Lepisosteus oculatus: one gene and its partners. The protein of the gene in region 1 purifies or fractionates together with the protein of each later gene. This does not show direct contact. Links are inferred from orthologs where the notes say so. Each region holds a gene or a part of one and is shown on either strand. Other genes may lie near its edges. The genes, in order: srpk2, clasrp, srrm1 and ddx46.

The links.
Region 2: the proteins of srpk2 (region 1) and clasrp purify together in Homo sapiens (affinity purification with mass spectrometry; 3 studies listed by BioGRID and IntAct, with this or other methods). This does not show direct contact. The link is inferred for Lepisosteus oculatus from reciprocal best matches to the Homo sapiens genes SRPK2 and CLASRP.
Region 3: the proteins of srpk2 (region 1) and srrm1 purify together in Homo sapiens (affinity purification with mass spectrometry; 3 studies listed by BioGRID and IntAct, with this or other methods). This does not show direct contact. The link is inferred for Lepisosteus oculatus from reciprocal best matches to the Homo sapiens genes SRPK2 and SRRM1.
Region 4: the proteins of srpk2 (region 1) and ddx46 purify together in Homo sapiens (affinity purification with mass spectrometry; 4 studies listed by BioGRID and IntAct, with this or other methods). This does not show direct contact. The link is inferred for Lepisosteus oculatus from reciprocal best matches to the Homo sapiens genes SRPK2 and DDX46.

What each region holds. Positions count from the first base shown.
Region 1 is NC_090702.1:48,123,525-48,131,031, forward strand, and holds the start of srpk2 (SRSF protein kinase 2), read left to right. Parts: upstream 1-4,503; 5' UTR 4,504-4,761; coding exon 4,762-4,777; intron 4,778-5,024; coding exon 5,025-5,091; intron 5,092-7,507. UniProt on the Homo sapiens protein: Serine/arginine-rich protein-specific kinase which specifically phosphorylates its substrates at serine residues located in regions rich in arginine/serine dipeptides, known as RS domains and is involved in the phosphorylation of SR splicing factors and the regulation of splicing.
Region 2 is NC_090698.1:2,616,275-2,623,791, forward strand, and holds the start of clasrp (CLK4-associating serine/arginine rich protein), read left to right. Parts: upstream 1-4,517; 5' UTR 4,518-4,616; intron 4,617-5,233; 5' UTR 5,234-5,349; exon of another isoform or gene 5,350-5,389; intron 5,390-5,598; exon of another isoform or gene 5,599-5,810; intron 5,811-5,826; exon of another isoform or gene 5,827-5,931; intron 5,932-6,572; 5' UTR 6,573-6,661; coding exon 6,662-6,760; intron 6,761-7,381; coding exon 7,382-7,479; intron 7,480-7,517. Other genes in the region: protein jagged-1b, read left to right, coding at 334-683. UniProt on the Homo sapiens protein: Probably functions as an alternative splicing regulator. May regulate the mRNA splicing of genes such as CLK1. May act by regulating members of the CLK kinase family.
Region 3 is NC_090706.1:4,187,421-4,194,262, reverse strand, and holds the start of srrm1 (serine/arginine repetitive matrix protein 1), read left to right. Parts: upstream 1-3,831; 5' UTR 3,832-3,879; coding exon 3,880-3,900; intron 3,901-5,247; coding exon 5,248-5,337; intron 5,338-5,590; coding exon 5,591-5,713; intron 5,714-6,012; exon of another isoform or gene 6,013-6,140; intron 6,141-6,842. Other genes in the region: ncmap (noncompact myelin-associated protein), read left to right, coding at 1-134. UniProt on the Homo sapiens protein: Part of pre- and post-splicing multiprotein mRNP complexes. As a component of the minor spliceosome, involved in the splicing of U12-type introns in pre-mRNAs. Involved in numerous pre-mRNA processing events.
Region 4 is NC_090706.1:23,721,496-23,729,304, forward strand, and holds the start of ddx46 (probable ATP-dependent RNA helicase DDX46), read right to left. Parts: upstream 3,010-7,809; 5' UTR 2,889-3,009; coding exon 2,872-2,888; intron 977-2,871; coding exon 791-976; intron 421-790; coding exon 298-420; intron 76-297; coding exon 1-75. Other genes in the region: guided entry of tail-anchored proteins factor CAMLG, read right to left, coding at 5,200-5,391, 6,249-6,314, 7,279-7,733. UniProt on the Homo sapiens protein: Component of the 17S U2 SnRNP complex of the spliceosome, a large ribonucleoprotein complex that removes introns from transcribed pre-mRNAs.

The DNA of each region.
Region 1 (7,507 bases):
TGGTCATTAAAAATCCCAGGGAGTTTCTCAAAAAGAGTAGGAGTGTAACCCCGGTGTCCTGGCCAAATTTCCCCCTGGTCCTTACCAGTCAAGACCTCCTAATAATGCCCCTCTCTGAACTGGCTTCATCACTCTGCTCTCCTCCCCACTGAGAGCTGGTGTGTGGGGAGTGTACTGGAGCACTATGGCTGCCGTCACATCATCCAGGTGGGGCTGCACACTGGTGGTGGTGGAGGGGAGTCCCCATTACCTGTAAAGTGCTTTGAGTGGAGTGTCCAGAAAAGCGCGTTATAAATGTAAGCAATTATTATTATTATTATTAATGCAAGGTAGTGAGAAAGTCCCCGAGGTCAGGTAGCAAAGGATACCAGCAACAGACATACCAAGGAGTTGAGTAACCCTCTCTTTTCATTATTCATCATTATTCATGTATTTTACCATCTGACCTAAAGACCCATTTACACAGCAGATGTGAGCAAAGTACCTCATTCATGGGCAAGACAGGAGCACCCCACTTGGGATCTGAACCCGCAACCCCTCTGCCATTCCCTGGCATTTCGGTTCTTGCCCAGCCGCAGGTCTGGTCCGGCTGCTTCCTCTCTGAGCTGGGTGTCAGGGGAGAGTCTTCAGTCAGCCGACTACCAAGAAACTCCAAAAACAAAAACCAAGCACACTGGGCGCAGGGGCTGGGATCGCACGATGAGTGTGTCTGATCCAGCCGGACCGAGCTGATGCAATCGTGCGTATGACGTCCATGCTCATGCGCTCTGGCTGGGGGTTAGGCGGCGTGTGAAGTCTGGTGGTATTTGTCTCACGAAGCTCCCGAACATAAGAACGGTTACAAACGAGAGGTAGGTAATTGATCCGAGGATCTCATCCAGCTGTTTCCTGAAAGAAGCCAGGGTATCAGCTTCAAAAACATGGGTGGATATCCTGCTCCATACTCCCACAACCTTTTGTGTAAAGAAAGTTATAACTCTCAGTTCTCTGTGTTCAATGCACTTCCATCTGTATTTCCACTTGTTGTCACGCCCGACATCCCTCCCTAGAGGGCGCTCCACTCGTTATTGTTCCTGTAATTGTTGCTAACTCCCCAGGTGTATCTTGTTATGTGTATTACTTAAAGACCAGCTCCTCCAGTCCTCGGGGCTCAACATTAGGGTACGGATGTCACGAGGGCCCCCTGGCACCAGGATACCCTACATCCGTCTCCTGAGGGCACAGGCCTCATCCCCGACACCTCCCGCTTCCTGAGCCCGGGGTCTGGAGGATCCCGCCCCGTCACCCTTGGACCTCTGTGTCTTGTCTCTCCGTGTGTTCCCCCCTTCCAGGGATTTTAACCTTGTCGTGTCCCAGGATGGATTACTCGCCGCTGGACTCCCGGACTGTGCCCTGACCTGCCTTTGGACCTGTTTTGATTTGGATGCCGTTCTTTGTCTCCCCCGTTCACTGTCTCACGGACTGTCACTATTATTGTGCACTATTAAACCCCTGTGTGTTCCCTTTTACCACGCCTGCTGTTTTCTCCAGCTCTTACCGCATCGCATAGGGTCTACCACAAGACCCGGCACGGACTTCTGTCAAAGCCTTTAGAGGAAATTTAAATACTTCTAATTTCCCCGGACAGAGGCCATTTACGTGGTGGACAGAATGACCCTATGAGAGGACAGCACTGTGCAGAACTGCAACCAGATAACACTCCCAGGTCACAGTTTCATCCGACAATAACTAGGAGGCCTGGCACAGAGGGAATACTGGCTGGGCTGGGACAGAAAACTCATGCCACGTGGCTCAGCCAAACTACACAATCTGAGCTCATTTTCAGGAATTATTCTGAGCTACACAGCTTCATCTTATCAATGAGGGAAGGACCGAGTGAGTGCACGCCTTGTCTGAACTGTTATTACTAGCTCTGCTGAATTGCCTGATATGAAGTCATTTTTTTCCATGACAACATTATGATTATTTTTAATAGCCGAATTGCCGTGGGCAGCAATAATACAATAGAATGCAGTAAGACTGGAAAGCGGGCTATTGTAATAACCCTGCACTATGCTACAATAATATTTTTATTAATTCACTTGAGTAATGTGCTTATCCAAAGCAACTGATGTCTGGACCAATTTATACTGTAATATGCAGCATTTTTACCTACTGTTTTGCAGTTAGGTCTTCTTGCTTGGTCACTTTTTAAAATCACATGGTCAGAATGATCATTTCTTAACTAGTGGATACTCAAATCTACGTGCAGCCTAAACATGACACTGAAGCAGCTGTCTCTGTGCTCTCTAATTGCAGCTCTGACATAAAATACTGGATGACCCAAAGTTTTCTTCATTTAAACTGCAACAAGACTGAAGTGATTCTTATCAGCACCTCAACTACTGTATCCAGGGCCAATTCAGTAACCCTACATGTGGACGGCATTGTGCTTGAATCTCAGTAAAAAAAAAAAAGAATTTGGGGTTGTTGACCTTTGACATACATGCGCAAAATATTGTAAATATATCATTCTTCCATCTTAGAAATATTGCCAGAACACATTTTATTTTTTGTCTCTAAATTAACAGCAAAGCTGGTTAACACATTCATTTTTTGCAGAAATGATAACTGCAGCTCCCTACTCACTGAGGTGTCTAGATCCACACCAAACATACTTTGGTATGTCCAGAATTCAGCACCTGGAAGTTTGACCTGGTTGCGTGCAAGTGATCACATTACTCCTGTCCTGGAGGCCTTGCACTGGCTTCCTGGCAGGTTTCGTGTCGACTTCAAAATCCTCCTGCTCACCTAGAGGGCTCTGCATGACTTGGCACCTCAGTACCTGTCCGATTTATTATCTTCCTACTCCCCACCTCGAAATCTTCGTTCATCTGATTCTGGTCTCCCCTTTCTTCCCCAAGCGCGTTTACACTCCACAGTTGACAAGTCCTTCTGCTACGCCCCACAGCTTTGGAAATCTATCCCCAAGGATAGCAATGCTGAAGTCCAGACTCAAAACCTTCTTGTATTGAAAGGCTTGTATTGAATTGGTGTCTGTGTTTGCTAATGGCGTCTTCTACTGCATTTCTAATCCCTTGTGTTGCTTTGTGCTAATTTTGTTATCTCCTTTGTTGCTGTTTTCATTTGTGTTATCTGTTTTTTTACTGTTCCCCTAAAGTGCTTTGAAAAGATACGGTTAAAGGCACAATATAATAATAAGGATGATGATGATGATGATGATGATGATTATTCAGATGGGCATTACATTAAAGTAGCCTGAGGGATACAAAACAAAAAGAAACAAAACACCCCTTCTTCTCCTTTTAATAATAATAATAATAATAATAATAATAATAATAATAATAATAATAATAATAATAATAATAATAATAATAATAAATACAACTACATGTGTGCTGAGTTCTTCATCCCAAAGCAGAGACCCACTTCTTTCACCCCTGAAGTGCTGCCTCACCTGGGTGATGTGCAGCTCCCATTTTGTCCCAGCAGCCCCAGGTACACACAGGGCGGCAGGTAGAAACAGGTTCACCAACTGAAGGAAAGAGGCACTTGAAGGAGACAGGATCGTGCAGCCACAGAACCGAATTTGTCCACAGCTCTTACAATTGCCCTATAATGAGAGCTTAGTCAGGACCACAAGTTTAAAGGTTTAAAAGGTAGAACAAAATGATAAATATAAATCCTGAAACAATACAGATGCCCGATTTCAGAGACTCCCACACACTTTTAAAGGCCTTTATGTGGAGAGTGTATGCCTTTTGGCACTCTGTGTTAGCTTTCCGCGGAAGAAAAGTGAATGGGAAAGAAAGGAAACAATTGTATCTCCTTTTGATGGATTAGAACTGTTAATCTTCTTGGATGTCTTTTGTTTGGGAGCTCGAATCTCTTTAAAACCACAAGAACTAGTATTCCCTCAGTGCGTGGCTTCCTAGTTATTGTCGGATAAAAGACAGACGTTGAATCCTCACTGTATTGTGTTGTTACTCTGACCTTTATTAAGCTTAGTTCAGGTCGTGCAGTGTATACAATGATTCAGCACAACTACACCTCAAAATCTGTCCTCACCGCTGTACTCTCACGAACTATAGAAATTAAAAATCCAATACACCGCCCTCAACACAACGATGCAGTAAATTAGAGTAATACCGCGCAATATTTTAATCACAAACAGCACATTACACTTTATTCATTTATTTTCAATTGTTCCTGGACTTCCAGAGCTACATTAATTGAAATACAATCTCGGAGCACGGGACCTTTTGTAAATATTGGAGATCACATGGCAACACAAAACGGGAATACTGCTCTATTTTTTTTTTTCATATATTCACTTTGCGGTTAAATCCAAGACTGTGGTGTGAACCGCTGTTTTCGGACCGCGGAGACTAACCGTTCGGCGCGCGGGTCGCCGTTACCACGAGTAACTGACCTGCCTGCGTCATCGTTTTTGTTTTGCGGGCCACAACGATCACCTCACCCGTCACCTCGCGCCGGGGACGCGCGCCCAAAACAACCAACCGCTGCTCTCTCTCCCGCTGCACCTGCCTCGGCTCAGGTAAGCCTGCGCGCGCCCGCGACGCTGGGTCTTGACAGCGGAGCGCGCCCCCGAGTCCCCCCTGTCTGGCTGGGAGGAGGGTGCGCGCCTCCCGACGACGGCCGGGGGAGCGCGCATCCCCGAGAGAGGCGGTGAAGGGAAGAGAGAGACGGACGGAGAGAGAGATCCCGGCCGCCTTCGCCGAGGTGGAGAAGGATACCAACATGAGCTCTCGGAAGGGTAACCGGCTGTCTTTCTTACGCAAAGCCTCGGGCGTCCTGGGCCGGGCTGGGGGGGCAGGTTCGGGGGGCTCGGGTGTGTTTGTGCGCTCCACACGGCGGTGGTGGCGGCGGTGCGGAGGGCGGGCGATGCTTTTGAAACCGGCAAACTGATGTGTCGCTCTTGTCTGTCCGTCTCTCTCTCTCTCTCTCTCCCTCCCCTGCTTCTGCCTGGCTCCCGGGTCGCCCTCCCGCGATCCCCACCGCAGTGCTGGCCATCCAGGCCCGCAAGCGGCGGCCGAAGGGGAAGAAGGACAAGGCAGCCCATCAGCGGAGGTAGGCAGCGGTCCGGGGCTGCAGGGCGGCGGCGGAGGCGCCCCCTCTGACAGCGCTGACAGCGGGAGAGGGGGAGCTGACACTGGCACACTCGGCGCACAGACGCGATGGCGGAGCGGGGGGGGTGTCGTGGTGCCCTGGGTGCCGAGGGAGGGAGCGGGGTAGCGGCTCCGACTCCTCTTCCCGGGGCTGCCCGGCCGTGGTGTCGGAAGTTGCTATTGGCAACGATCCGCAGCCCCAAAGGGGGGGGGGGGAGGACGGTGGCTCTGGAGCCGGCGGGACAGGCTGTGCCGCGTCTACCGCTGGTGCCAGCCCGCCCAGACCACCTCCTCGCCCGGGCGCTGGGCTGCTGGAGCCGGACCGGGCTGTGATGTGAGGTGATGTGCAGTTCGAGCCCCCGAGCCGAGTTGCTGCCCTGCTGGTGGTTCGGAGAGGGGGGTGGGGTGTACAGGGCTCCGCTGCTGCAAGACGAGAATTGACTGACGTTGACATCTATCGTTGGTGCGAGAGGTGCGAGAGGTGCGAGAGAGAGTTTCACCCAAAACCGGCTGGGTGGGGGCGGAAAAAAAAACACTGAATACGCAAGCGACGGTAACGTAGCAGCTCTAGCGGTGTGCCGGTCCCGTGTTTCTGAATGCTTCCGCGTTCAAGAGCGCCTGGCCGCCGTGCCGAAGCGATGTGATGCTGGAGGCGAGAGGCGCTCTGCTCGCGCGCGCACAGCTCGAGGCTCCGCCACGCGCGGGACCGGGGCAGGGGAGCCCGGGTGACGTCATGGTCATGAGCTGGCGTCCCACCCCCACCCGGGGCTGACACGGCGCTGGCTGGGGCAGAACGGGCTTGTGAACGGGATCCCTGGGCACAGCGTCTGTCTGTGCAGAGGCTCCCAAATCCTGCTCGCTGGAACCTCGCTGTTCGGGCCTCTGCGCGACCCGGGGGCTGTCAGTTCGACTCCTGAAGTGAACTCCGACCTGAACTCTTCATCTGCCTGTTTGTTGGTTGTCTGCTTGCCTCCAGCTTTCCTGATTTCGCGCGGGATAACCCGAAAAACGTGTAGAAGCCATGAGAATTTCTTTGAATCCCGTCGAAGTGGATTCAGCGGGGTGGGAGGAAGAATTCGACAGGAACCCTAACCCCGCGGGCCCTGCAGAAATTCCCCCCTCGGGGAGCAGCGAGGGAGCAGGGCTGCTCTGTTGTCCCCTTTACTCCCCTTAAAGAACAGAAACAAAATTCCTCTCCTGTTATGAACTGTCATGAAAAACCGAGGTCCTGACTCTCTGTGGTCATTAAAAATCCCAGGGCGTTTCTCAAAAAGAGTAGGGGTGTAACCCCGGTGTCCTGGCCAATTTTCCCCCTGGCCCTAACCAGTCGTGGCCTCCTAATAATCCCCATCTGTGAACTGGCTTCACCACTCTGCTCTCCTCCCCACTGAGAGCTGGTGTGTGGGGAGCGTTCTGGCGCACTATGGCTGCCGTCACATCATCCAGGTGGGGCTGCACACTGGTGGAGGTGGAGGGGATCCCCATTACCTGTAAAGCGCTTTGAGTGGAGTGTCCAGAAGAGCGCTATATAAGTGTGAGGAATTATTCTTCTTATTATTCTCAGTCGGTACCCCCCCACACACACATGCTCACACTCTACACCCCTTCTGAAACCAACTCTTGCAAAGACGCGCTTTGTAGCTCCGGTCCAGTTGTCTTTCCTGCACGGGCCGGCGCGCCCACACCCCGCGCCAGCCAGCTCCTTCCCTCCTGCGCGCCACCCCCTGGGATGGGAGCGGGGCTCGGGGTGAGTGAGCCGCCTGTGACACTGCAGAGTGTGTGTGTGTGTGTGTGGGGGGCAGGTGTAGGTGACCAGGAGGCCAGGGCCTGGACGGGGGGGGAGAGGCCGTCTGCTGCTGTCATCGATGTCCTGGTGGTCCGAGCGCGCTTGCCTTTCTTTAAACTGCCCCTCGGTGAGTCTCCAAGAGTGGATACCTGCCAGGTGGCTTTTAAAACTTTCAACCGGAAAAAATGGGCAAAAAATAAAGCTTCAGGAGGACCCCAAAAAAAGGAACTGCTTGATTCTGAAGTGTCTGTGTAGCACGGGCACATAGCCGTGTCCCAGCTCACAGGAGTTGGCATTCGTTTAGCTTGTGCACGTAATAAGTGTTAATTAACCGCAAAGACGAGTTCACTCAGGTTTTCTCGCAAACCTATCTATGGGCAATTATTTTCTTGGAAGTGTGTTGTGGATGTGGGATGGCATCCCTTTCGGAATATAAAGTTCTGTCTATTCAGAACTTGTTTCCCAAGCGGCACGCCAGGGTGAATTAAATTATGCGGATTCACGATTCCCTGTTTTCTTGCGCAGAAGCTCGAACTAGTGTTCTACTCCCATGTGTTTTCCCCTTTGATCATATCGTTTCCTCTGCTCTTGC
Region 2 (7,517 bases), on another chromosome or scaffold:
GCCTGTGTGTGTTGATTGTGTGTGCATCGGCCTGCGTGTGTTAGCTGTGTGTGTATCGCCTGTGTGTGTTGATTGTGCGTATCGGCCTGTGTGTGTTGATTGTGTGTGCATCGGCCTGCGTGTGTTAGCTGTGTGTGTATCGCCTGTGTGTGTTAATAGTGTGTGTGTATCACCTGTGTGCGTTAATTGTGTGTATATTGGCCTGTGGGTGTTGGTTGTGTGTATCGGCCTGTGTGGGTGTCACCTCTGTCTCTGTGTGGGAGTCTGGCTGTGGGCACCGGGGGTTGTGTGTGCCTGTGCCTGACGGTGCTCTCTGCGCCTCTGCCGTGCCAGGCTCCGGGAGCACTCTGTACGTGGTGATGGTCGTCCTGCTGGCCATGTTGGTAGTGGGAACGACGCTGTGCATCTACCTGCTGGCTCAGCTCCGGAGGCGCAGGAAGGAGCGCCAGCACGCCGGGCAGGACGAGGGCATCAATAACCAGCGGGAGTGCGTCACCCTCATCCGGAACCTGGGCGGCCCTCCCCCAGTGCCCCGCTGTCGTGAGGAGATTGAGCTGAGCCTGCCGCCCACCCCAGAAACCAAGAAGCCCAGGAGGAGCAGCGCCAAGCTCGACATCTCCAACCGGGAGCGCGAGAAACTCAACCGCTTCCACTTCTCCGACAGCCAGGAGGTGGAAGTGTGAGGCCCGCCCCGCCTGTCGGCTTCTGTCCGTCTGCCACTGCGGCCACCCGTGCTCCCAGGCTTTGCAGGCCTTGCTAGGCCCCCGAGGGAAGGGAGTGAAGGGTTTGGCTGCTGAGGAGGCTGGAGATCGTGAGCCTTGATTGCCCAAGAGGGGGCGAACTGCTGCACAGCTCTGTTGACTCCCACACCTCAACCCTTGTGGCATTTTCCCCCTGAGTTGGAACTCTTGACATAAGCCTGAGAGCCTGAGAGCCTGAGAGAAGAAGGCCTCTCTTTGGCGTGTCTGGGTATCGGTGCACCTGCTCTGCCCTGTTGCCACTATGAAGGTTCCTTCCTTTTGATGGAGGCAGTGATGTGAGGGTCAGCATTGAACTTCTCATTCCAGCTGTTAAACTAATCGCATTTCCTTTATTGGAAGAATAAAGTATTGTGTTGTTTTTTTTTTGTTTGTTTCTCATGTCAATGAAGGCAATATTGTGTATATGTGTGTGTTTTGACAGGTCCTTTAACGATAGAGCTGCACCTGGTGTTCGTATAAAAGCTTCTGAGCAGCTGTTGCGTGGGTAGAGAAATCTATACAGTACATCCAGCAATGTTATCAGTAAATCTGATTCATACTCTGCTTGTTAAATGTCTTGTTCAATGTGTTTTGCCTTCTGGAGAGAATGTGCAAAGCTAGAGAAAGTCCTGTGGGGACATAGTTCAGTGCTGCGCAGACCTGAGTCAGAAGTGTCTTGACATTGCAGTGCAACTCCTATATGTGTCCCTCCTATACCCTTTACACAGCTAAAGAGCACTCTCTACTTCACATGTGTGTAATCCGTTTGAATTTTAATTTACAAATAAGTCAAAAGCGTGAGAACGAAATATTTCGGCCACTTTTGTTAGATATGGTTTTGCAATAGACATCCACCAGATCAAACTACAGCCTAGGCCAAACACGACTCCACTGTGCCAGACCAGTTGCCCTCCACCAATCCTGCTGAGCACAGGTGGGCTCTCCATAACCCCTTCCCTGCTCTGTATCTCTGTACACCCACTTTCACCAGACCCCTGGAGGTTCTGAACCAGAACTGGGCTATGGTCCCACTGAACAGGGCCTGTGACCCCGCCTGAGAGAAGAGGAAGTGACGGGGGGTGCAGTGGGGACCCCAACATTAACAAAGTGCAGCTTCCAGATTGCGTTACTGATCGGGGGTCTTAAGAGCTCATTGCATCGGGGCATGAGTTACATTTCTGTAGTGTCGGAAAGACAGGCTGGAGGACAGACCTCTTGACCACAGCTGGACAGTACACACTGGCCAGTTTGACTGACCCCTTCCCTGAGAGGCTGTGGGGTGGAGAACGGGGAGGTGATTTAGTCCTGTCTGATGGAGGTTTTCTGCGATTGTTCCTCAGCTCTGTTTCTCAAGGAGCCACAGTCCCTGAGGGGTTAAGAATATGAGGTTGGTCACAAACAGGAGGAGCCACTCAGCTCATCCAGCCTGTTTGGAAGTTAGTAGCTAACCTGAGGATCTTATCCAGCAGTTCCTTGAAGGAAGCCAGGGTAGCGTCTATGTCAGTGGCTGGAAGCTTGTTCCACACTCCCACAATTCGTAAAGAAGCGCCTGCTGTTTTCGGTTTCAAATCCAGGTCCACATAGGCTCCACTTGTGTCTTCTGGTCTGTGTTTCAGTGGTTTGCTATTTCTCTTTAGGCCTGGGGATAAGCGCTCAGTTAAGTGAAAAATTAGTGGTTCAATTAACTAATTATCTGCTCAGATGGAATGACAACCTGAGGACCCCATTGCCCTTGGGAAAATGCCCTTAGGAGCTGAAGACAATGGCAAAAAGCAACCTAGAAAGGTTACTAATAAGGGAAAATAATCTAGCTCATCCAGCTCGTTTGGTAGTTAGTAGATGACAAAAGGATATTGTCCCCTTTGAGGCGGCACGTTCATGCTTGTAAAAGATGTATGATTTTTGTACTTGTCTGTAAATAGTTCAGCTGTATATAGTGTACATATTTATATTTTGTCTTTTATTGACCATTTTTGTACCGTGAAATCTTTGAGAGTTTTTGGTTCATCTCTGCCCTTTTTCCTTGTGTCTCTCGTGATGGCCAACCGGTGCGAACAGTAATTAAAACTTGTTTAACACCAAGAGTGCAGCCTGTGTCTGTGTGTGCTGGGACCCCGACAGGCCACCCCAGGGGGGCATCTCCCCAACCCCATGCTGACAGAGCGAGAGAGACTCCAGGCTGCTGCTGTGAACTACGGGGAACCACAGTGGAGAGCCCTGGACCCTGGCCAGGGTTAACTACAAGGAAGATGGAAAAAGCAGGTGGCGGGGCACCAGCCACAGACAAGCTTTTCCTAAGCAGCACCAGTTCAATCTGCTTCTGGGCCTTACTAATTGAAGTGCTTGTACTGACTCACTTAAATCCTTGTTTATGCTTTGTCTTCTGCCAAGCATCCCTTGTACTGCCAGAAGGAAATAAAAAGCACTTGTTTTTTTGGCGGTTACACCTACAAAGGCCTGTATCACTACATATATTATTTTTGGAGAACTCTTTCTTCACTAAAACAACTTAACCATGGGGGGACAGGTCTTACTGCTGTTTCCTGTGGTTCGTCCTGCTAAAAACTGTTCAGTAAAGCTCAGTGAAGCACGAGGGGGTGTACTAAGGCGCAATGTTTCCAAAGAATTTGCTCCCTAAGACCTCTACAGATGAGTCATTAAGTCATGGTATAGTTTGTAAGGGAGTTTCTACAATGACCCCTGCCCTTGCTGGCAGTGCCTGGGGTCCAGGTGACGTGGGCAGCGAGGGGTTTCCCTGCCGACCAGGAAAGGTGATGAGCGAACTTCCTCTCTCCGCCCGTCCTGAGGGAGGTGCAGGAAGCGTCTGCCTGCAGATGCCTGCCAGGAGTCCGAGTCACGTCCTCGCAGGCCCTCAGATGAACCTGCTCTGGACAGGGGCTCCAGAAACACCTGCTGCTCTCGCTGCAGAGAGCGAGGGGCCAGACCAGGCGGCAGCTGATTCACCCTGCAGCTCACAGCCAGCAGCCCACTGGAGCTCAGCAGGTGTGAGCCTGGTCAGTACCTGGAGGGGACTGACTCCCGAGGAAAGCTAAGGCTGCTGCTGCAAGAAGTGTTAGTAGGGCCAGCAGGGGGCGCTCATCCTGCAGTCTGTGTGGGTCCTAATGCCCCAGTATAGCAACGGGGACACTAGACTGTAAAAAGGCGCCATGAGATGTAAAAGCATGGTCCTAACTTCCTGTGGTCATTAAAAATCCCAGGGCGTTTCTCGAAAAGAGTAGGGGTGTTATCCTGGCATCTTGGCCAAATTTCCCCCTGGCATTTACCAGTCATGGCCTCCTAATAATCCCCATCTCTGAACTGGCATCATCACTCTGCTCTCCTCCCCACTGAGAGCTGGTGTGTGGGGAGCGGACTGGTGCATCATCCAAGTGGGGCTGCACACTGATAAAGAGGAGTCCCCATTACCTGTAAAGTGCTTTGACTGGAGGCTATAGAAGTGTAAAGAATTTGTTATTATTAAATCCACGCAGAGCAGGCGGGGGGGTACAGCAGTGCCTGAAGTGTGCTGGTACTCTCTCCTCACTTGCTTCAAATTCCAGACCAGCACCCCTGTATTGCAAATGGGGGTGCTGTGCCACAGGAGGGGCCGCACTTCACATGGGCTGTTGACCCAAGGCCCTGCCCACACTGGGGACATTTGAAGGTCCTACGGCTGGGATTGCTCAAGAGTGAGCGTGAATTTCAGAACAGCCCTGATTCCGGTGTGCTGCCTGGAATGTGACCAGTTGGACTCTGCAGAAGGCGAACCGTCTGATACGCTGTCGTTCCAACCTTCGTACAGGCCGGTATCCTGAAGCTGCTGGGAAAAGTACACTTGAAGTTTGGTGTATTTGGCCCTCAGGACTGACCGAAGAAGTAAGTTAAAAATCTAAACAACGAAGCAGATCGGTTAAGTCATCGGTTAGAGCTGGTGCTCAGGTGGGACGGGCACCAGCTGACGCTGCGCTCCTGCAAAGCCAGGGGTGTTAAAACTTCCCCACAGACCGAGGGCTGGAACCGTAGCTTAGAACACGCCCGTCAATTCTGCCACAGCGAAAGAGAAAATACCGCTAAGAAAATAAAGAGACACAAAAACAGAAGGCGTAGCCCAGGAGACTGTCGTGTCTTGTCCCGTGAGTAGTTCAAGTAGGGAGCTGCGTCAGCATGTGTTGGCTGCAAGGGAACAAGTAAAGGTTTATTCCATGCTGGAAAGGGAAGAAAAGAAACAACGTTTAGAGAAAGTCCATCCTCTTTCTCACACCTCCACGGCCGAAACGTTGTGTTTCTTGTCTCCTCTTTTCAGCATGGAATAAACTTCGTGTCCCATAATCCGACTTTGTCGTGTTGTTCCGGAGTTCAGTACTGTTTCCTGCTGCAAACACGCAGTGCTGGAGAATACAGAACTACATCTAACTGAAGCTTCGGGTTAAATAGTATTAAAGAAGACAAAAGGGGAAAGAGAAATAATATATCATAACGGATTGTTTACACAGATTCTTCCAATACATTTTCGTTCGAGAGCCTGCACCGCCGCCTGCTGGAGCTCGGGTTGTACGAGCTCGCTTCCGCGTCCAGCTTCGCAACGAAACAGCCTGACACGTGGCTGCGGGTGTGCGTGATTCCGTGATTTACTATCCGTGTGGCCACAGGTATGTGATGCATAACGTCATGTTCTCCTTAGAGTGCACAATAATATCCGAAATGGACCAGTTTGGTGTCATTTGGAGGCAGGGTAAAATATTAACGAGCTCCGCAGTTCTGTTCAAATACACCAAAAATATTAAAACCACAACTCCCGTTCACCCTTTCCTCCACTTCCGCTCTCATTGCTCTTTGACCTCGGAAGTGGTTGCCGGGATACCGGAGGACTGTGTGTTGTGATGGCCTCCCGATCGGAGTTCGGGTGCAGTTACGGCTGTTCGACGTGTTTATATATTTAATTGCACTCTGTAAATCTTACACCAAAGAATATCCGGTGGTAAAAATCGAAAGACCCGAAATATCTTACAGACAAGCATAACCAAAATCCTTTCAAGGAACATAGACGTTGGAGGAAGAAGACTACATTTCGTACGTGTGCAGGCGCCATTGGGATCCGGGGTCGCAGCTGTTATTTATTCCACAAAAACAGATAAACAGTTGGGGAATTGTAATATTTATCGCCGCATTCCTTAAATTACTTCTGTTCGAAGTGAGTAAATGTTATTAGGGCAAGAATTCGAAGCAGGCGTTTCTAATCATGCCATTTTTAAGCAAAAGCAGTAGATGAGATTGCATATCAGGGAGGGACAGGAGCGATTAGGAGAGTCCCTTGCGCGGGGGCTGTGTTGGATGTGTCGCTGCTTCGTTCGTGTGTTTTGCCAGGGATTAGACGGGAACCCCCATGAGAAGGGAGAGAGGCGAGCAGTATGAGGAGTGTCGCGGACACATTCCTCCGGGTGCGGCCGCCATTGTAGGCAGCTGTATTCCCCAGGGGAAACCGCTCAGCCCCCGAGAAGCCGTGAGCAAGGCTGAGCGGGCGGCTGGAGAGCGGTGAAGAGCAAGCAGCCCTTAAAAAGTGATAGCGGTCACATGGGCAGCCACCAGCTCCGCCCTGCTACAACCTTTTAAGGAACCGGTAAACTCTTATTGCCGGAAGCCTACATTTGTGAGAACAGGAGGTTGATTTCAGGACCTGGACAAGGCCCTGTGGCTCCTGGGCCGAGGGCAGATGAATACCCCCTGCTCCCGGCCAGCTGTCTTGCAGTGGCCCCAGGGGCAGAGCCCAGAACACCTTGGCCCTCAGCAGACTGTGCCTCCTTTTCACCCCCAGCATCCTTTCTCCCTGTGCAGGTGTGTTGTGGGATTCCTGCTGCCCTCGGACTGCCTCTCCGGCTCCTCCCGTCTCCACGGCAGCAGGGCTTGGCCGCCCCGGCGCCAGGATGTGGCACGAAGCCCGCAAGCATGAGCGCAAGCTGCGCGGCATGATGGTGGATTACAAGCGGCGGGCGGAGCGGCGGCGCGAGTACTACGAGAAAATCGTGAGCGAGCCGTCGGCGTGCCCGAGGAGCGGGGCCTTGGCCCGCGGCCCCCAGGAGCCGCCCTGTGGGCGGCCAGCTGCCCCTGCCCGGTCGCGGCTGGCGCTCGCCCTGCCCCTGCCCGAGGCGCTGGTGTTTTCCACCTGGTCTTCTCAGGGGCTTTCATTCAGAAAACAACCAGACAAATGTTTGATTAAGCAACATGTTGGGTAGTTTATGCAGAACAGGGATAGATTGATGATAAATGATTAATTAACCACATGGGAGTGATGTAATCTGACTCGTCTGAAGGCACTGGCGGGGGTGCAGTAATGCCCGGCAGGTAGTACTGTTGTACACTTAGCTTGGTGGTGGTGGAGGGGATCCCCATTACCTGTAAAGCGCTTTGAGTGGAGTGTCCAGAAAAAGCGCTATATAAGTGTGAGCAATTATTATTATTATTATTATTATTATTATTATTATTATTAACGGGAACATTACTGTGTAAAAAAAAAATGGATTTCAGGAACATTCAAAAGCAGGAACTTTTTTTCCCTTAAGCCCCTAGTTTCCACTTGTCCCTTGGGGAGTTGTTTGGCAGTGTTATACTCTACTGTGAGAGTTACCGGAGTCTTGTGATTTCAGAAAAAGGACCCGGCCCAGTTCCTGCAGGTCCATGGGAGAGCGTACAAGATCCACTTGGACTCTGCTGTGGCTCTGGCTGCCGAGAGTCCAGTGAACATGTGAGTACTTCTCTGCTCCTGTTTGCCTTAGGCCACAA
Region 3 (6,842 bases), on another chromosome or scaffold:
AAAATGGCATCACGGAAAACGAATTTAGACTCCCTAGGGTGGAGATGCACCAGAACGTCTTTGTCCTCTATGCCACAGACACCGAGCCTGTTCCGGTGTCTGTGCACAGCTCCTCTTCCTTGGAGAACACATAACATCTCAGCAGCAAAGCTGGTGGAGCCGTGGAACAAGTCTGAAGTCTACTGGAACTGTGCAGTTTACTACGTTCTTAGGATACACACTCATAACTGAGCCAGTACTGAGCTGCTCGGTCCTCGGTCCTGTCCTTGAGAGCACTGCATTGGAAAACTCCCATGCTGTTTGGAAGGACGCAAACCAGACACTTAATAGAAGGCAAACAGGAGTTGAAATCTTTAAACCTGTGAGCAACAGGGCTAAAGTGCTATGATACTCTAGTGTTCACCAGCAGTGTTTCCATGGCTGTGTATCCAAGTGTTGTGCATACTAGTAGTCAATGAGTGTCGGACTCAGAAAGTGGCACCACAGAACTTTTCTAGGTTTTGTGAACTTTATTGTTCTCCTTTCTCTGATCTGTAAAAGCCCTCATTGTTAAAACGGATGTATGTAGACAGTGTGTGCAGTGTCTCGATTGGACCGCAATGCTACTGAGCTAAACAGTTTCCTTTTTGAAACCCAGAAGGCTTCAGCCCTAAGTTAGACCGTGGGTCTCCATCCCTGGTGCAGGGTTTTCTGGGTAACGACTGCAGTATGTCACAAACTTTGAAGAACCTAGAATAAATTAACTGTGATCTATTAAGCAAGACACGTGTTAAAAGTATTAACAAGTTAGCAAAGATTGTTTGGGTCAAAAACCTCCATTCAGCGCTGTTTGGAATCTGGTGTTTTTTTGCCACTCTTAGGTTAAGAAAGAGACCCTAAAATAAGTTTAGGATTCTGTTGTATCTCTTAGGCTTTGAAAAAAGGTTGGACACACAGGAGTGATTTGTTTCAGAATTATCTGCCTTAACGGAACAAATTACTTGCTTATTTCATCTATAACTTATAATTACCATATTAACATTCCAACAGTCCATCAGAAAACTGCTTATTCTTGTTCAGGGTCACAGCAAACTGGAGTCAATTCTGGAGTCACAGGGCCCAGGGTGGGACAACACCATGAACAGGCCTTCCCAATCCTTAGAAACAGGCGATTTAGGATTAGGGTTAGGTTAATAACCTGTAATTTACACTGTATTGGGGCACTCTGGAGGAAGGTTTAAGTCCTTTCATTCAGATGATGTTTAATCTGAGCCTTTTCAACAAAATCAAGGATTTTATCTCCTTTTTCTCCCCCCCCTGGCTGAAGCATTCTTTCCTGGTTGATGTTTTGTTCATTTTTTGTAATTGAAATGACCTTGATTTCCATGTAATAAAGCAAATCATGTCCTCTCTACTGTTTCTCAGGCCTGCGTTAGGCAGGTGACAATAGCCTGTAATAAAGTGCTTTAGAGGAAGTTCTGCATCTATATAGACCTTTATGTAGGATTTACGTTTTCAGTTTTTGTAATGAAATGGGAAACGTTTCAACCTGCTTTCCTGGTGAAAGTCTGGTGATCCTGATATTGTAAAAAATGACTTTACTTGCAATGCTTGCCGGTGTTTTGAAGAGGAAGGAAACTCATAGGTACAGTATAAGTAAACCTAAAATGAAAGCACATGGCTATAACTGTAAAAAGAACCTTTATACATCAATACAAGATGTTGCTTGTGATCAACTTGAGCCTGGAGATTTTTCTGACATGGTTATGTATCCAGAACTGCTCTCTGGCATCAAGAAATGTCACTAGACTGAATTATTCAATATTTACTGTATATGTATATATAATTGAAATCAATGTCTATGCAATGATAGTGTTACATGTTCCTATAACAGGCTGGATTTGATGTCGAGCAATTATGCTTGCTTTCTGCTGGTGTTGGAATAATAAGCCACAGTAAGAAGTTTTGTGTCCTAATTTTTAAGAAGAATAAATAAATGGAGCTTTTATTTAAAGTATGGCGTCCTCTCAGAAAACATATTGCTTTTATAATAAAGAAATTGCGTTATATTGTCATAAAAATTACACTTTACATATGTAACTGTCGTCCTAGAAGGCTTGATATCCCCACTTCCTTTGAAGAGAAACCTTGTCTTGCTTTGCATCAGCTTCCAATGCTATATTCCCGACTATATCGGTATTTCCCTTTTTTGTTTTACTGACATTTGAGAGATTTATCATTTGAACTATTAATCCAGACATCATAGCCCATGTATGATTTAGGGTAGATGCTTGACCTTATGTAAATGAAACTCCCAAAATGGCAGCACATGAGTGAGCCCTGCCCAGCTGGGTGGAGCTTGAGTGGCCAGCAGTTTCCCTGGTTGGTGCACAGGAGTAGCCCATGTGACTTACAGGTTGGCCAATGAGCTTTTTAGAGCTGTGACACTCCCCTCAAAGCTGGGTCTGAATGAGAAGTGGACAGCTCAGGATCAGTGCATGTTTCAGGGAGACAGAGATGGCCTCCTCTCCTCCATGCTAGTACAAAGGGTGGCGGAAATGAGCCATATTGACTAACCATCAGAGATTCCCAACAGGTTGGGGTGGAATATTTCAAATCTAACAAAAAATAATTCTAGTTATTGGCTAGATTTATAAGAGCTGAGGACTTCCAGTTAATCCTTTATTATTGGGGAAAACTACAATTGTTCAATGTCCAGGTAGGATCTCTGTACTCCACGGACTACAAAAAACATGGCTTTCCAAAATGAATTCCAAAATTCTTAACTCCTTTCCCCCCACATTTGTCTTTTTCTAGAAACAAAACATCCTGTCATTTAAAATCATGTGCTGTGTCTGGGTGATGTTAGACAAGTTATACCTGCTATAAAGTATGTGACAAAGCTCTGGATGATTATGTAAATACGGAAACCAATGTAGCATTAAAAGATTATTTTCTGTGGGAAGATTGAAGTCTGATTTAAACTCATGGAGGATCTGAGCAGTGAGGACACCTGGGTAAACATCAGGGGTTTCTGACAGCATCTGCTGCACTGGAACTGTATGACTGTGGAACCCAGAGTGTAGGCACAGACATACACAGAGGGAATCACGATTCATACGTCATCCCTCATCATTGGCATCGTCTTGTGAACCTGTTAATAAAAGATCTACCAATTTGCCATTAGTTCTGGAGCTCTGCTGCTACACCGTGACTCACACTGCTGCTCCGAGCTGTGAGGCTCATGGTCTTCAGGGAGTCCTCATCCCACTACAACACGATTTGATTGTTTTGTATATCATGATGCTGGAAAGTAATGCATCATCTTCAGCACATTGACAAGTTTGTAACACACTCAAAGCAGAGTGATTTTGTGTATGGAGCGCAAATAACCTTCACAGACCTGCCTGTTCATACCTGCATTGCTATCAGTCTGTTGAGGGTGAACTCATGGGAATATCGACATTTAGTTTTGTAAAAAAAAAATCACGTTTTGGAACATTTTAGTGATATTTGCAGTGAACCTTCCATCTGTCAAATAATAACTGTAACGGTGGTGTTATGGAGTCGTTTAGGCGTTCAACTTTAAAACAGCTGATGGCCACGTTTCAGAGCAATTGGCGCTCCTTGATAGGTTTGCCCGGGAGTTTTGGACTCTTGAGAGTTTTGTTTGGATTTGCAAACGACGGTGTTAAATGTGTTGAGGCGCCTTGAACCTGCTGTTTAAAAGTTCCGCGGAGAGCCGAGCTCCAGTGCCTGAGGTGTAAACGCATCAATAAAGTTACGCCGCCTGGTGGTTATTTATGGTCCTACACGAAGGGGGGGGGCTTCTTCCTGCATTGCATTGTGGGAGTCGTGGGCATTTTTCTTTCAGAGACACATTGCACATTTCGGCAGAAGATGGACGCGGGTTTTTTCCGCGTAAGTACATGTCTTCTTTTTGGCTAAAAAAAAAATGGAATTTCGAGTTTATTGTTCTCCTTATTGCAGCCTAGGCGTCCCCTCGGCTCGGTTTCCGGAGCCAAAAGCGTGGCTTATCCAGGAGCATTTTTTTTTTCCTTGTGTACTTCATGCGCCATCCCGGAGCAACGACATGCAATGGGAGAATAAAAATGGCGGCTGTATGTGAATTCAACCGGGGATCAAAATCATTCGTTGAAAATGAATTGGAATCTGTATTGTCTCGTGTTGTGTTGGGGGTGCAATTAATAAACGCGCACATCGTTTTTGAGGATGTTCTTTCTGTACTTGTTAATCTTTAAAAAAAAAAAACCTTCAGAGCCCGTGTAAGGCCTGTGTCGACAAGCAGTCAGCCAGGGTGCAGGGCTCGTTTGAATAGACTATGCCCAGATCCTTCAAACGTTGTGTTCGTGTGGCTGCGGAGAAATGTTGAGTTCAGGAGTTGTTGTTTTTTTCTTAATCTTGTGTGCTGGAAAAAAAAAACCCTCAGCGGCCTATAACGGAGAAGACAAAACGCGATCGGGTATTTAAGCGTCTTGACCTGTGCGGCAACGTCTACCGCGTCTTCTGGAGAAAAGACAACTTTCTCTGGCTTCGCCTCGCCGTGCCTGTTCGCTCCTTGGGGACTGAGGTGTTGGGAAGTGACGAGGGAAAGTCACCTTTGAAGTACACGCTCACATGTGGAGGAATATTGCTTGAGAGTCGTGTGATAACCTCGGGTTTTTTTTTAAAAAGCTGCTCTTAACCAAATCTGTCACGCCTCACGATGTGTGCGAAATGCTGACAGACCCAGTGAGTTTGGGGAGCTCAAACTTTTAAAAAAAAATGTAACTGGGCTCGTCCTTCACTAGTCATTGTCTTATACTGTTACCAGCAGCCTGAAGAGCTTTTCAACTTGATGGCCTTATTCAGAGATCCCTCCCGGAGTTTAGCAGATATTCTGGTTTAGTAAATGATATGGCTGCTACGAAGACTTGTAGGTTTCATTGTAACCTTTTGTTGTTAATAATAACAACAACAATTTCTTGCTTTAGGAATTTGTATTTTCACCTACCCCAGCTTGCTCTCCATGAGACACAGACAGGGAGAGAAGCTGGGGGTCATAGTGCAGGGTCAGCCGTTGTACAGCACCCCTGGAGCAGTTGGGGCCTTGCTCAGGGGCCCAGCGGAGTAGGATTTCTCTGCCGGCTGCGGGATTTGAACCGGCAACCTTCCAGCCACAGGCGCAGATCTTATCCTTAGATGAAATTGTTCATGTGAGCCTGTCCTGAAACCTAAAACCAGAGTCTTTCTGTATTTTCTTACCAGGGCACGAGTGCGGAGCAAGACAATCGCTTCAGCAACAAGCAGAAGAAACTTTTGAAACAGCTCAAATTTGCAGAATGTCTCGAGAAGAAGGTATGTGAGCATCTTCTAATTAATTGTTGTTTCAAAATATTCTTAGAGACCCAAAGGATCGTCCTTGGTCACCTGGGGTGTCTACTTGCGATAGGCTTGCAGTTATATATTGTTTTGCGGTTCTGATCAGAAAACAAGATTCAGTTTAGGCTGTGGACACAAGGTGTCCTCCAGTGTTTTTGAGTTTATTTTTGATTTTGTGGTAGGGTGACTGTTTTGTAGATGTGTGGCTAAATGTCAGCTTTCTTTTCAGGTGGATATGACCAAGGTGAACTTGGAAGTCATCAAACCATGGATAACTCAAAGAGTGACAGAGATTTTAGGGTTCGAGGACGATGTCGTCATCGAGTTCATTTTCAACCAGCTGGAGGAAAAGGTAACGCCGTCGAAACAGTTTCTTCTTCCTCAGATTCTTGTTTTGTAAAGCAGTGAACTAGTTCTTATTTTTTTGTGCAAGAGGCGGGTGGGTGGGTGTGAGAACTAGAGAAGAGTATTTTTTCTAGTTGAGAATTCACTTTTTATAATATAAATTTACTGCTCTAGGAGGTTTTGTTCTGACTGCTGAGGTGAAAGGAAATGAAGCTATATGTATTTGAAAGAAATGTTGCTGTTATATGTAACAAAGTGCCTTTGACAGCAGTTTTCTAATGATGATGTGATTTATGATTTAAAAGGCCTGAACCAATATGGATGTTATTCCTTGCGTCTGAAGTATAGCACCATCACCTAATTAGGTCACAGCAGAGTGAGTGTCCAATGTCGCTCTGACCCAACTCCCTTGATGATGCAGTGTGTGTTTGGAGGTGAGTTGTGTAAAGTGACCAAAAATTCCAGTGACGAGCACTTGGACAGATCCTTACACTGCTAAACCACCTACATTTACCTGTGGCTAGATATTTATAGATGGTAGCAGTATACCTTTTTAAAACCTGTATGCAGTATGCCTGAATTGTTTCCGGTTTGCTGTGTTCCAGTTATGATGGCTGATGGCGAAGACAGCCATCCTTTTTTTCCTCCTTCACTGTCGGGCATGGTGCATGGTGTAAAAAGAAATACTGCTATATTTATTGGTGAAAGGAAAAATACTACATTGAAAGTGGCCTGACTGCACTTTTGATGTCAGATTATTTAGACCTGCTGACAAGGTCTTTTAAAAAAAAAAAAAGTAGCAGTGATATTTATGATTCTTCACGTGTATGCAGACAAACTGATAATGTAGACATTGGTGTTCATTTGCCTAAAGTTGATCTAGCTCCTAGACCCTCTATATCTTGAGTTAATATGCCTTTTGTTTGACCTTTTGACTTTTTGTGTGAAAATAGGCACTGCTTTTTTGGTCCATATTGAGGTATGCTTAAGACTTGTTGATTTGCTTGCCAGGCAGAATAGCTTTTTTAAAAAAAAAAGTCAATGCAAACAGTATGTAAAGCCGATTGTTGACATTGGTTCAAAGTGTATTTTTTAAATCAGACGTAGGGTATTTGCCTTTTGTGAATGCTCAATAT
Region 4 (7,809 bases), on another chromosome or scaffold:
TCCTCTTTTTCTTCTTTTATTTTCTTTTTCTCCACAGACGGCTCTGTGCTATCAGACTTCTCCTTACTCTTTGACCTGCAAGAAAAACAGACAGTCTTTCAATGCTGGGCTTGGTACTGAAGCTAGAAATAACTGGAAGACGTCCTATTTTCTTAACGTGTGCTTAGTGTGCAGTACCTTTACTGCATTCTTTCCGATATTTATGGTTTTTGAATGAAACTTTATTTAAAAAGACCTATGCCATTTTTCATAATAGGCGCTGGTTTGAAAAAGAACAATCTGATCCTCGAGTCCTACCCTTCGTCAGTCTTCCTGCTCTTGCTGGGGCTTGAGGAACGTGACCTCCGGCCCCGTGTCCTGCTACAAGACCTCCTCCTGTCTCGGCTGCGGGATCGCCGCCTTTCCCGACTCCTGGAGCGCCTGCAACACACAGAGAAGGAGAGCGCGACTGTCAGAGAGCCTCGCTGCCCCCCGAAAGAGGGGGGGACACGTCAGAGCCGCCCAAAACGATACTTTTCTCTCTACAGACTGGAACTGTCTTGTCATTCACTAACATCATTTTAGGACAAGCTTCTTACAGCTTACTAACTCGCACTCCAAATTCAAAAGAAAGGTGAAAGAAGGACTGAAAGAATCATAATTTAACAGTATCATAAGAGTCTTAAGAATATTGTGTCACCGACTACAGAGAATAATAAACCTAAGCCTTTGAGAGCTCGGAAATGTTTTGGCATTTCAGACAGGGAGACCGTGGCTTGAAGGCCCTGCTTGTCCCAGTGCAGTCACCCACCTCGGACGCTTCCTGTCCCGGGATCGGGAGCGGCGCCGATCACGGCTGCGGGAGCGCTCTCGCCTGCGTTCCCGGTCCCGGCTGCGGGAGCGAGCCCTTTCCTCTCGCTTCGACCTCTTCTCCGGAGACCGGCTCCTGGAGCGGCTGCCGGACCGCCCCCTCGAAGCCGAGTGCTTGCGGTAGTGCCTGGGAAAGACGTTTCACACGCATTGACTGACCCGCTTCATCACATCCCCCTCGGTTCCCCTCATAACTATCTCCAGGTGGCAGTATTATATCTAAGGAACAAGTAATAGTTTTATTCCATGCTGAAAAAAAGAAGAAAGAACACAATGGTTTGGCCGTGGAGCCTTCTTCAGGTGAAGAAGGCTCCATGGCTGAACCATTGTGTTCTCTTTCTTCTTTTTTTCAGCATGGAATAAATCTATTACTTGTTCCTTTGCAGCCTACGCATGCTGACGCAGCTCCCCACCTGAAGTATTATATCTTTATATTAATACATATATAATATAATATATATATATAAAATCCATCATTCTCTTTCCTAAGCACTTCTTCCAAATCAGGGTTGCAGGGGAGCCAAAGGGTATCCCAGCAAGCAACGGGCACAAGGCAGGATACACCCTGAATTGGACGCCAGTCCATCACAAGGCACACACTCAGACCAGGGTTGAATTTCCCAGAAGCCCCTATCTACCAGTTATGTTTGTGGACTATTGGAGGAAACCCACACAAATACAGGTAGAACACTTAAACTCCACACAGATAGCAGCCCAAGTCCAGAATTGAACCCAGGGTCACAGCACTATGAGGCAGTAATGCTGACCACTGCACCATCAAGCCAGACAGTATTATTATTAAACCTTTATATAACCAAACACCCAGCTGAGAATTTCTCAATCTCAATGATGGCCTGGCCAAGAGGAGGCATAAATCATTGCAGCATAGCAAGCAATAAGGAAATATCATATGAATTTTCAATTTTAAAAAAAGAACTTAATTTCTTACATTGTTCCAGGATCATGAATGAATTTGATATAATCAACACCTTTTCATGATTTTGAACACCTAAATCAAGTACCCCGCATACTCTACGCTGATCAAAGCTAATAAAATAAAATATCTTGACCCTTTCAGGTACAACTCCTTAAGAACAGGAATAAGTGTGATTGCTCCCACCAAGAGTGACAATATCTGTTGTAGTTTGGTGACCAAAGCTGAAACCAAAAGAAATCTAACTAATGCACTGTATACCCAGAGGCATTAAAAAGATAACAAATGTTACGGTTTCTAATAAAAATAATTGTACAATCTTAATAGCCAAAACGTAATTTTTAATGCATTCACAGTGTCTAGCTGAAGAAAGTGGCAAGTCACCATTTATCTCGTATTCCTTCCACTACAATAACTTCAAGTTTCCACAGATACGTGCACGTATGCACAATGAAGTAAAATTCCAACACCATTTATTTTTCTGTCTTTGGGTTGATTTAATATAAATTCTCATTCCCTGTAAAGCGCTTTGAGTGGAGTGTCCAGAAAAGAGCTAAATAAATGCAAGCAATTAAATTAAATGCTCAGCGGTTAAATTCAGATCTAGCTGAATGTCTACTTACAAAGATAACATGACAACAAAGCTCATCTACCTTTGGACTACGAAAACAATACAATATAAAGGAGAACCGTGATTTTGATTTTAGAATGTTGTGCTGGGGCTTTCACTCTAATTGTATCGTTCGGTTTGAAGTTCAAGCAATAACCTCATAAATATTGTACGTATTCATTAGCACAACTCTAATCCGATTAGCAAATTCTCAGCTACCACATTCTCTAGCAGCCTGAAACGTTACCTCAGATATCTACAATATAACGTTTTAGAATATATAAAATAATTTGATTTAATAACGCCGCGAACACTTTGATGGAGGGAAAGCAGGTTTAATTTTGAAGCGCTACATATTTTCTTCCCATGTGCGGCCTAAGGCGATCTTTATAAAAAGGCGTACGAATCTGCAGTGACTAAACTTTTCGATGTAAAAATATTCAGATGGTAATAATAAAGACGAACAATGCACACATACCTCGACTCTCTACCCATCTTCTCGTTGTTTTTCTAAGGAAATCAGTAGGTATTGTTCAATTTTGAACTCACTCTTCTTCAGCGCTTTCGTGGTAAATCCCAAACTTCTCTGCGAACCAATAAATGGCCAACATTCAAGATCGTACTTCCGTAATGTTCTCTCTTCCTCCATCCAAACAGCACCCCCCAGCGGCTGGAAGAACCAAATTCATATTGATACCTCCGAAAGAAGACGATCAAAATCCAGTTTCTACTGTTGAACATTTGCCTGCTTTAACTGTACTGTATATTGTATAAAGCTGCACACCGTGATATGTCCTGACCTTAGGAACAGTAAAAACGCTAAACGTCAACAAGATTGTGTTAAGGGTATGTGTGCTGAGAGCTGGGAATGCATAGCGTTGAATTGCTGTCTCACAAGAATCAAGATCTGCACTCACCTTTATTATAAAAGAAATAACGTATCAAATGAAATATGCCATCGCAATTCACTAAATATTCACACCCAGATCATCTATATTCAAACCATTCATGTCCCCTTTATTGTCCACATGAGATACTTAAGGAAATCAAGTTCCAGTGAAAAGAAAACTACAATACGTGACTTAAAATCGAAAAAGTATTTCCCAAATTAAAATGAACAGCTTTTTCTTTGGGAAAACGGAAAGCCGTGTAAAGAAATGTGCTCACCCAATGATTCAAGCTGTCCCTCCAAACAATATATTTGTAAAAATTCTCCTTTTAGCACTTCAAGAAAAAAAGCTTTAGTTCCGTCTTTGATATTTTATTAATTTGTTCAGTTTTCAGTAGTTTTTCCACATTTCAGCAGTAAATGCATCTCACCCAGATGTACAATTTAAATTATGACCAATACATCAATTACACTGTTATGGGTTGATAATCTGGATGATGTATAACCTGGTACATCATAGTTTAAAATTAAAGACCTAAAAAGAATTGCTCTTTAAATTTTAATAACAAAATGGCAGTCAACATTTTTTACCTTGTTTTGTCAAGACAGGGAGGTGATACAATAAAAAAACAAGTATGTGTGGTTACAACATTTAAATGACGGACGAAATAATTTATTGTTAATTTAACCTAAGCATGCCACTAAGACATGGGAGTAGGTCACAGTTCACACAGGTGGCACAGGCAAACATGGAATTTAGCCCATATATACTCTTGCTTGCCCAAACTTTACCACATTCAGAGTACAAAACCACCGATGCATACTGCATGTGTTAAAATGCATGTGTTTTCGGTGTTTACGATGATGTTTCCCTCTTTAAAATAAAATGAACTTTTCACTTGATGCCAATTTAACCAAAAGTACTCATTGACCTCCAAGTAAAAGATGCTTATTTATCATTAACCACAGTTAATTGAAATATCACAGTTGTGATTATTGTAAGCCACTTAAATTGCTGGCGTGGGGATGTCCCACTTAATCAGTGGTGAAAATAAACACAAAACTATTCAAATTAAATGAGATCTAGGTTTGATGATCAGTATCACCTGTGAACTCAATTTTAATGATTAATGAGGCAAAGCACTCAGTGGCTGGGAAGTTAAGGTTAAAACAGCCTTGTTTCACAATAAGCAGAGGTTCCATGTTTTTAACCAAGAAATGGCTAATGACAAATTTAAAGGGACAAAAAAACAAACATTTAAAATCCGGTAACAGTGAACAACCAACACCAAAAATTCAAATACAGCACACAGCTCATACCCTGTTTTCATATTTGGGTACAGAATTGTTAACCCTTGACTTTGTTTCTGCAGTGCACTTCACAGCATTTTGTGCTACTGCATTACTTTCCACCAACATGTTCTTGAGAAGAAGGAGTATAAAGTTTTTAGCTTAAGTGGATATATAAATTCCATAAATTAAAAAAAAGGTTACTAGCAGCAAAATCAAAAGTCAGCTAAATCCAAAAATACACAATGCAGAATAATAAAAAAAAAAATCCTTCAACTATAAGAAACTGGACCCCTTGCTTCTGACCAGAGCGCAAGTAAAACCTAACCATCAGTACATATGGACTGCGGTGCTGTCTTCAGCTACTAGTAAGACAAGCAGAAATTCTGTTATTTCCTGCAATGGTATGGTAGTGCAGAAGACATTTTGCTAACCGTGACCAGGTTAGCGCTCAGGACCAGATCTTTCAAGGACCGGCAGTGTCCATATGTCCATCTTTCCCTGATAGTCAAGGGCCGGACAAGAGGCGGGAAGCGTTGGGAATGTAAGGGGAACAGGGAGGAGGGGTTTCGATTTTATTTCTTCCAAAGCATGGAAGAGCGGAGGGGGGGAGGGGTAAACCAAACATCAGGGAATTTCAGAACCCAGAAGGATGAGGATCTCGTGACACACAATGAACGTGAAGAAATAGACACACAGATCTGTGAAGACGTCCCCCATTTTGCTATAAGTGTCCATGGAACGGTTGATGACCTCTGCGGGGATCCCTGATAGCAGCAGAGCAGCAGTCAACACTGTAGTCTTCATCTTCTTCTCACTCTGAAAGTAAAGAGGACAGAGAATCTATTCACCTTTCTGCAACCAAGAATCCTCAAAGTCACCCCAAGAAAAACAGCTGATTTCTAAAACTCAAGTTGTTGAAGAAGGGGCAGGGTCAGCACTGCTGCTTTGTTTCACTGGGGCCCTGGGTTTAATTCTGGACCTGGGGTGCTATCTGTGTGAATTTTGTATGATCTCCCCCATATTTGTGTGGGTTTCCTCCGGATGCTCTGGTTTCCTCCCACAGTCTGAAGACATACTGGTAGGTTAACTGGATTTTGGAAAATTTGGATCTGGTGTGAGTGTTTGCATACATGTGTCTGTGTGTCAGTGCAATGGACTGGCGTCCCATCCAGGATGCACCCTGTCTTCTGGGACTGGGCTCTGCCTCCCCCACAACCCTGAACTGGAAGAAGCCATTAGAAAATGAATGGATGGATGTTGTTCAATATGGATATCTTATTAAGCAGCTCTTCTATATGGTTTCCTCTCATTTCTGTCCTGCCTAGTAGCCCACGTTTTAAATTAAATCATGAAATATTTGTTCCAATTAAATGTTTTGTGTGCTTTTACAAAAACTACTGCTGATCAAATATACTTTGCTTTTCAAGCCTGTTAAAAATAGTTTCAATGGGAAAAACACTACAAAAAGGACTGTTCTTTCATCATTTTAGATCTGTGTGCTGAAAAGCACAATGCAGGAATATAATTCATAAAACAATACATTTTCCCTGAATTATAAACGCAATACACTTTTCTTGCAAAAAGGGATATAGTATTCTGTTTTCAAAAGCAAATTAATACAGAGCCTAATATCTTACCTACAAACAACCTCTCTTCAAAACCGACACACTCACCTTTGGAAAATACTTGTACAAGCCCATATATGCCAGCTGGAGGGTAAGAAATGGGGCAAATATTGACTGCAAATAAGAGAACAAGAAACCTTTGTTACAACATAATGTCATAAAACCAGTCAACCCACAGCTCACTACTGCAGCTGATTTCCAGAACTTCAAAGCCCTGTCTGAAGAAGGTGGGCAGTCATGAGTTAGTCAGATAGCAGAAGAGCTGTGCTCTAAATAGGAACTCCCAGTGGTGTGATATTAAGCTTAACTACATTATTTTTTGTTGAGAAGCAGACATGAATTCCACCATGCTATACTGGTGTTCGGTCCTGAATAAGTCAACACTCAAGCTCTGACATTTTTAATGCCTCAAGGGTGAAGATAAAATTAAGTTAGGGCATTTTGTCTTCATCAGGGCAACATTACAGTTCTTAATATCTAAATACATAATAAATAATACTTGCACTTATATAGTGCTTTTCTGGACACTCAAACCTTTTTTCAGGTAATGAGGACTCCCCTCCACCACCACCAATGTGCAGCACCACTTGGATGATGCGACAGCAGGTATAGTGCACCAGTACACTCACCACACACCAGCTATTAGTGGTGAGGCCACAACTACTGTTTTCTGAGAAAAACCCTGGGATTTTTAATGACCCTAAAGAGACAGGACCTTGGTTTTATGTCTCATCCAAAAGACAGTGCCTTTTTTTACAGTATAGTGTCCCCGTCACTATATTGGGGCATTAGGACCCACACAGACCGCAGGGTGAGCGTCCCCTACTGGTCCCATGAACACCTCTTCCAGCAGCAACCTTAGCTTTCCCAGCAGGTCTCCCATCCAGGTACTGACCAGGCTCACACCTGCTGAGCTTCAGTGGGTTGCCAGTGGTGAGCCGCAGGGTGTTAAGCCGAAAAACAGATCAAGCCCCAAACCAAAGTGAAGCTTGTTAGCTTTCCTGCAACCAGATCTTTACCAGCTGGAGAGGGAAAGTGATTAAATCAAACAAATCAAAGATCTGCGACACAGACATACCAAATACTTGCAGACAAAGACCCTGACAGTGATGGCTAACATCACGCTCCCGATGAGGCGGAAGACTCGGAAGGCATCTAGCTCCTCTGGGCCCGAGCCGTTTTCCTGAGCCGGCTTCTCGCTGATCAGCTGGCTGCGGAGCTTCATGGCCTCATCGAAGCGCGACAGGTACTGCTGCAGCCCGCGGCGGGGGGAGCGGGGGATGCCGTCGGAGGGGACGTCTGCCCGGGATCTCTGCCGCACCTCCCCAGCGCTTTCGCCCTCGCCGCTGCGGCCCGCGGGGTCCCTGCACTCCCGCAGGGGAGACCCCTGACGCTCAGGCACGTCGCCGTGGTGATTGCTCACCCCCATCTCACTCTGGAAGACTGGAAGTCTCTTGGATTGGGCGGACAGAGACCGCGGCTCTGCTCTGCCATGATCCAAGGGAACTCTGGGCTCCAACGTATGTCTGTCATCTTGTAGAAGATAAGGAATAAAATTATCAAACCACAAATTGGATTCTTTCAGAATGGGATGATAAATTGTAGAAGT